2 linked regions of the Ovis aries genome follow. The protein of the gene in region 1 interacts with the protein of each later gene in a pairwise test. Links are inferred from orthologs where the notes say so. Each region holds a gene or a part of one and is shown on either strand. Other genes may lie near its edges.

What was found.
Region 2: the proteins of FAM161A (region 1) and CCDC57 interact in binary tests that used the Homo sapiens proteins (3 or more experiments, as listed by UniProt). The two-hybrid records come from large-scale screens. The link is inferred for Ovis aries from reciprocal best matches to the Homo sapiens genes FAM161A and CCDC57.

What each region holds. Positions count from the first base shown.
Region 1 is NC_056056.1:46,300,998-46,304,746, reverse strand, and holds the start of FAM161A (protein FAM161A), read right to left. Parts: upstream 2,510-3,749; 5' UTR 2,425-2,509; coding exon 2,227-2,424; exon of another isoform or gene 2,220-2,226; intron 1-2,219. UniProt on the Homo sapiens protein: Involved in ciliogenesis.
Region 2 is NC_056064.1:50,203,050-50,206,698, reverse strand, and holds part of CCDC57 (coiled-coil domain-containing protein 57), read right to left. Parts: coding exon 3,625-3,649; intron 3,222-3,624; coding exon 3,087-3,221; intron 1-3,086. UniProt on the Homo sapiens protein: Pleiotropic regulator of centriole duplication, mitosis, and ciliogenesis. Critical interface between centrosome and microtubule-mediated cellular processes. Centriole duplication protein required for recruitment of CEP63, CEP152, and PLK4 to the centrosome.

The DNA of each region.
Region 1 (3,749 bases):
GAGAGAAACTAGCGTTTAAAAATCAAGGTGAGATATCAAGCCAAACTGTGAGGAAGGTAAAGCTTGTCTGCTGCACTTTCTTTCTTGCCTTTCCAGTGCTTTGTCTGCCCACCCCAGTGTCTCCATCAGGTCTACTGCTATGTGCTGCACGCTAAGTCACTTCAGTCGTGTCAGACTCTTCGACCCTATGGACTGTAGCCTGCCAGGCTCCTCTGTCCATGGGATTTTCCTGGCGAGGATACTGGAATGGGTTCCATTCCCTTCTTCAAGGGATCTTCCTGACTCAGGGATCAAATCCACGTCTCTTACATCTCTTGCACTGGCAGGCAGGGGGTTCTTTACCACTACTACAGTGGCAGCTGATCCAGATTTCCTTTTGGTTCCTTTAAGTACTGTGGTCTCAGAATAGCGTTAAACTTAGCTTCCTTTTTTCTTTTTTAGTGAGACACTGTCCCTTAGAAACTAGCTTATTAGATAAACTGATCTCTCCTAAGGTAATATTTCTAATACAAATTTGCAATTTTACAGGGTACTCTGGAAGTATACTTGCAACCACAGAAATGACTGACTTTTCCACTACAGCAAGCCAGAAGAGAACTTAATCTCCTGTTCTCTTTTGGATAGGTGTTCAAATAACAGCCCCACTGGCAGCTGTTATTATTATTACTAATTTATACAAACTGTCTTTTAGCTATGACATATGCTCTTATTTCGTTCTCATAATACCCCAGTGAGAAAAGAAAGACAGTTATTTTAGAGCTCTTTTATAGATAAGGAAACAAACTGAAAGAAGTTACATCTTAATATTAACTAGCAAATGAACAGATCCTAACCCAGGACTCCAAATTCTTCTCTTCATTCAAATCATTTTTCAACATCAGTCCACCTCCTTCATTGGGTATTGAAATTTGAAGCTTTATCATGAATGAATTTGGTTGTAGGTCACTCATTCTGGTTGAAGTTCAGGGTCTTTGAATCTGCTTTACTCTGGATAACCTCAAGCAGTTTATCTGTTGGTAAAATACTGCCCATAAAAGGTGTTACTACAGATTTTCTCATTACCATTTCTAGTGCAGATTAAAGAAATTAGAATTCCAAAATATCCAGTGATTTCTAATAGCCTTAGACCACAAGATCCCCTGGAGAAGGGAAAGGCTGTCCACTCCAGTATTCTGGCCTGGAGAATTCCATGGACTGTATAGTCCATGGGGGTTGCAAAGAGTTGGACATGACTGAGTGACTTTCACTAGACTACATGTTTTTAACCTAAGATGCTTTGAGCAAACAGTATTAAGAATTTGGGGGGACTTCTCTGCTGGTTAAGACTCTGCACTCCCAATGCAAGGGCCTTGGGTTCCATCCCTGGTCAGGGAAGTAGATTCTGCATGCCACAACTAAAGAATCCACACAAAGGTTGCATGGAGGCAACTGAGTCTCAGCACAGCCAAATAAATAAATATTAAAAATAACAAAAGAATCTTTACCTGGGGTTAAGAAGGTTTATACCTGCAGATTGCTGGTTAAAATTCAAAGTTCTCATCTTTTAAGGGAATAGAGCAGATGGCAGACTTGGCCCCCTACCTGGCAGACAGGTGTTCACAAAACACTCGACACTGAAAATCGATCTGTGAAAAAGCTGTTTCTCCTCACTCTGAAGAGCCGTGTGGCAACACTGGAGCCTCAGTAATTTGCTTCTCTGGAGGCTTAACTCTGTTTCTGATCTCCCCACTAAACTCCTGCTGGTTTTAACCATCATCTCTCATGTATTGTATTAAGACGCACTAATAACCAAGACATTGAAGTGACAACAAAACACACCTGACAACACAGCTGATTCACTTGCGTTTTTTGGATTATTCTCTGTAGGACAGCACAGTTTTCCTCGAGTTGAAAGGAAAAAGAAAAAAAAAGAAAAGAAAAGAAAATACCTACTCCCAACAGTTGCTGGAGCATAAGAATAAATTTCTGTACTTTTCATTAGAAATAGCGTAACGTAAATGCCCTCCAAGAAATTTTTACAACAACCTCTTTGGTTAAAAGACTTTTCAACGCCTCGGTTTCGAGCATTTTCCGTGAGGACCCAGAGGACTTGGTGGGCCAGGCTCACCTGTACGGGTCAGGACAGGGTTCGCATTTCCCAGCCCGCGCCTCACCACCGGGGGTCGCCGATCAGCCTCCAATTGCACCCGGCGCCCAGCCCCACCCCACTGCCCTCCCCTGCATTACCGGCGCCCGCGCCAGCCGTGCCGCCGCCTCTTTCTCTTCTTCTTCTTCCTCCTCTTCCTCCATGGCCGCCGCCGCCGCCGACAGGGAATTCAAAGGGTCTTTGCGTTCGTACTGGGCGACCCGCGCTCCGGTGTTGGGATTGACCGGGGTTTGGAGACTTCTGGCCGCCAACTTCGCCGCTCGGTGCGAAGCAGCCATCACCGCGCCGCCGAGGCCTGAGCGCCCGCGCTGGCCCGGGGCGGGGAAGCCGGCGTGGCCGCAGGCGCCCGATTGCTCTTTGCTTAGGGTGGTGGTTACTAGGGGCCCGGTAACTAGGGACGCTACAGGGGCCGCGAGGGGCCAAAAATCACTTAAAACCGGCGCCCGCCGCGGGGCCCCTTGGATAGTGGGAGTCAGTATTGAGTCTTTGCTGGTTTAGAGGATTGGTCGGGGGAATAGGGCACCTGGTCCCTCTTCTTCGCATTTCACCCCCTAAATGCAGACTTCTCACATTACACTAATGAAACGATTTGTGCTGTGGGGCTTTTTATTCATTGAAATAATATGTTTGGAGGAGGTGGCGGCGGCAGAAGAAAGCAGGGCGTGTTATCGTGTCGCGGTCTCGGGACAATGGTAACGTTTGCATCCCGCGACCTAACATGGCTCTCCAGCGAGCCGGAGAATGGGAAGCCGTGAGTTACTTTCTACCCTGACTTGAAAGCTAACGGAAGTCGACCAATCTGGAGGAAGGTGGAGCCTGGTCCACCCACCAGTGACTGAGAGTGCAGGTGTGTGTGACCCGAACGTTTGCTGCTTGGGTTCCTCCGCTTTATAGTGGTGGGGATCGGAAGGTGTAAACGCCCACCAGTAGCCACAAACAAGCCTCATCTCCACCTCACCCCCAACAACGTCTCCCACTTGGGATTTGGGCGCTTCAGATGACGCCTTGCCGCTACACCAAGCGCCTGTAAAAGAAGCCTAGCCTTAAAATATCAGGCGTGGTGGTGGTGCTGCTGCTGATGATGCTAAGTCGCTTCGTGGTGCAGTGTCAGCCAAACCCCTACTTCCTGAGGCTGAGGCCCCAGCCACCCCCCACTCCTGGCCCTACAACCTGCTGTCACCACCACAAAGTTAGGGTACGCAACGCGCAATATCCAGACCCCTTCTCTGAAGTCTGAACCAAGTATTTCTTCCATCAGGAATGTAAACACTTGCGAAACACCCTACTCCCTCACCTTTCTGCAGGCTGCTCTTTGTTTTGGCTGAGGATTTGCTTTGACCACTGGAACAGACACCGGCTGGATTCTTAGCCAAAGCTAGAGTTGGAAGCCCATGAGGTATGGACGCTGCAAATGACCACAGAAGGGACGTCCAGGCGTTTGCATGCAGCGAGTTCTGTGGCTGCACGTAACCCTCTTGTGATTTGACCCCGACCCCAAATCAGCATGCTGAAACACTGAAAATAGAACATTAGAAGAGAGTGGAAAAGAAGCAGTAAGTGTGGAGGACATATTGTATGTGTATGTAGAAGAGCAAAAAAGCTT
Region 2 (3,649 bases), on another chromosome or scaffold:
AGCATGAAACATTATATAGCCATAAAAAGGAATGACGTTCTGACACACACTACAACATGGATGGAACATGAAAACATCATGCTGAGTGATAGTCGAGGACTTTAAAAGCAGTTTGCATAAATATATGCCAGGATTTAAAGAAAAATATGAAAAAACAGAAATGGAAGATATCAAAAAGAACAAAATAGCATCTACAGAGATGAAAAATACATTGTCTGAAGGAAAAATTCACTGGATAGGATGGGATTAAGAGCAGATAAGATACTACAGGAGGAAAGGCTAAGTGAACATAAACACAGAGCAGTAGAAAGCCTTCAAGCTCAAGAACAGAGTGGAAGACAAAAGAACAAGTAACAGCAGAGCCTAACGACTGCAGAACAATGGGAAGCAGACATACACGAACCCAGATCAATGAGGGGGTGCAGAAGGATGCAGAACGCGTTGGCAAAAAAATTTCAAATTTGATGAAAACCTGAGTCCACAGATCCAAGAAGTTCAACAAACCCAAAGTAAGATAAACACAAAGAAAGTCACACCAAAGAGCACATCATGGTCAAACTGTTTAAAAACAGGGATGAAGGAAATCTCTTAAAAACCACCAGAGGAAAAAGGGCACATTACATTCCTGCGGAAGGACAAATAAAAGAAACTGCCAACTTCTCATAAGAACCAATGAAACCTAGAAGACTTCCCACTAAGATACCACGCCGAGAGGTCCGGCCATGGAGTTGAGCTGGGGTGAACATTGGGTCAGCTTTATTCCAGAGAGCACTAGGGTGAACTAATGTAAAATTTCTGCAGTGGTATATATTACTTTTGTTTCCAAAGTGAAGCTATTTCTTCTGTTACCGCTAGTCCCCAGCTTTTCAAGCCACCTCTGGCTCCGCTATGCACCTGCCTGCCTCCTTCCAGCCACTGCTCTGGCCCCACTGCTGCTAAGTAGCTTCAGTCGTGTCCGACTCTGTGTGACCCCATAGATGGCAGCCCACCAGGCTCCCCCGTCCCTGGGATTCTCCAGGCAAGAACACTGGAGTGGGTTGCCATTTCCTTCTCCAATGCATCAAACTGAAAAGTGAAAGTGAAGTCACTCAGTCGTGTCTGACTCCTAGCGACCCCAAGGACTGCAGCCTTCCAGGCTCTTCCGTCCATGGGATTTGCCAGGCAAGAGTACCGGAGTGGGTTGCTATTGCCTTACTACTCCTCCTGCAAACATCCAACCTCCCTCTTTGTGCCCACTGGGCTGTTCGCCACCTTCTCTGAGGCAAAGCCTTAGGCTGCACCTGCTCAGGCAGACAGTAGAGTGGTCAGGGCTGTGCCAACTGGCCAGCACTGCTCACATTCCCCCTCTGCCACCTGTGGGGAAGGGACTACCCCTCTTAGGGCCTCAGCTTCCTTGTCCTGAACAACAGGATCCACCTCAAAGTTGCAGTGCAGCCCATTCCCAAGGTGAATCTTCTGTCCCTGTGGCTGTGGCTGCATTTACCCTAGCAGCCTGCCTGGCGGTGGTGCCTTGGTCTCTGTGGGGTGATCACTCCGGCCCTGCCGATGCGCCATCATCGAAACTAGTGCCAAGCAAAGAGGAAGCTGTGGCCACAGCCAAGAGGCTGCCTGTCTGTGCAGTGCAATCAGTGGTGGGCTCAGCGCTTCCCAGGAAGCGCCATGTCTTCCTCCCTGAGCAGCCTCTGTCTCGGCTTCAGTGCACGACAGACGCCCCTGCTGCTCCTACTTAGTGTCTGCCAAGGGCCCACCTCTACAGAACTCAGCACCAACCGCCGCCTGCCAGCCGACATCCGCCGCCTTACCCGGCCACACCCTTAACCTGGTCACAGTATTAAGGCCCTGAAGGGGGGACGCAGGTGTTTTGCTATTATCTAGAGGATTCCAGACTTCACTCCTCTGGGTCAACAGAAACTTGCACAGCATCCTCCACCACCCCAGGTCCCTGCTTGGTAAGGAGGCCACATCTCTGTGTTAAGACCACCAGGCCAGCTCACCTTCACTGGTGCCCGAGGTGCTGCTCTGCCACGCCCCCTCATGTTGCCTCCAGGGCCCCCTGTACAGAACAGAGGTGCACATCCCCCCGACTCTGCATGCGGCACTTGTTTCTGACCCCTCAGCCATTTCTAAGGTTCCTGTTCACTTAACAAGGCAACTAGGTACTGACAGGCCTCCCTGACCAGCGGAGCTGGTGCTTGGAGACAAATGTCTTCTTTTAATTGTCAGCCTGGCGGTAAAATACAAAAAAGAAAAATTTGGGTAGGGAGGCTTATTAATAAAAACAACAAAAAAGAAGCATTTGTTTTCTACCTAGAGAAGGTACCCATGCAAAAACCACCAGCGATGAGTCCCCAGGACCATAGGTGACCCTGGAGACTAGGGTTGGCCCCCCCTTTCCTCCTGGGAACACCAGTGCTCCCAAGCCTGACCACTGGCTGAGTGTGAATCTTCCCAGAGGTTTGTTAACAGACACACCTTCGGGAGCTTGACCCCTAGGGCATCAAGCCTAGTATGCCTGCTGGGATGCTCTCATGTGATCTTAATTAATCATCCATCTTAACTAATCACATCCATAAAGACCCTATTTCCAAGGAAGGTTGCACCCTGAGGCACCAGGACTAGAATACGCCTTTCGGGGCCACCATTCACCTTGGGGTCGTCCCATAGCCAGTGTCAGGCTCTGGCTGGCACACAGCAGCACGGGAGTCTGTGCTTTTTGAGAGGAACGGCCATCGTTACATATCGAATGGTTCAGTCACCACATGTGTAGAAGCGTGTTTTGGGATAAAGCTCTGACCTTTTGGTTCTCTGTGTTACCGTCTGCCATGGTACAATATCTGAATTTGAGGTTTTTTGATATTTCAGATACTAAAGACACAAAGAAGATTGAGTGCAGATTCCCATTAGCTGGTTGAGCTTTGGTCTCACCTGGTGTGAACAGTCATCTTAAAAGAAACATGGCTGCAAAGATCTACCTCCAGTGCTGATTCTGGTTGGCGTGCTTCCCCTCTGGTGGGGGTAGCGGGTATCTCCAAGGAGCCTGGGAGGAAGAGCTGCAAGGGAGACTCAGGAGGAGGGCGGCCCCTCACCTGCGCCTCCTCCTCAGGGAGTAGCCCATGTGTCCGCAGAGCCTGCAGGGCCTGGTCTCTCTCTCGGGTCACGGCCTTCAGCACCACCTCTCGGTCACACAGCCGCCGCTCCGTCTCCTGGAGCTTGGCAACAACCTGGGGAAAATGCAGACTCAGTTCATCTTGGGAGGATCAGAAGGGAGCGGTGCCACTTTCAAGGTCCAGACCAGCTCCCTACCCTGCTGGGAAGCAGAGGGCAGACACGAGGGTGAGAAACCCTAGGAAATATGTGGCCGTCAGAGCCAGAGGAGCCCAGCAAATGCTGGGGCCACCTATGCATCCAGCTCCAGAGGCAGCTGCCTGGCCATTAGAGACAGGCTGTGGGCAGGGACTCATCATTGCAAGTCCTGCTGATATAAACCAAACTGCTCAGTGAGGCCAAGTGCCTTCAAGTGCAAAGGATAACTTGGTGAGGGCCCAAGCCAGCTCCATGCTGCAGTGGACATACCCGGCCCTTCCTTCTGCAGAAAGAAGTCAGACAGCCCAGGGGAGTGCAGACCTGATCTCTGGCCGCGGTCAGGCCC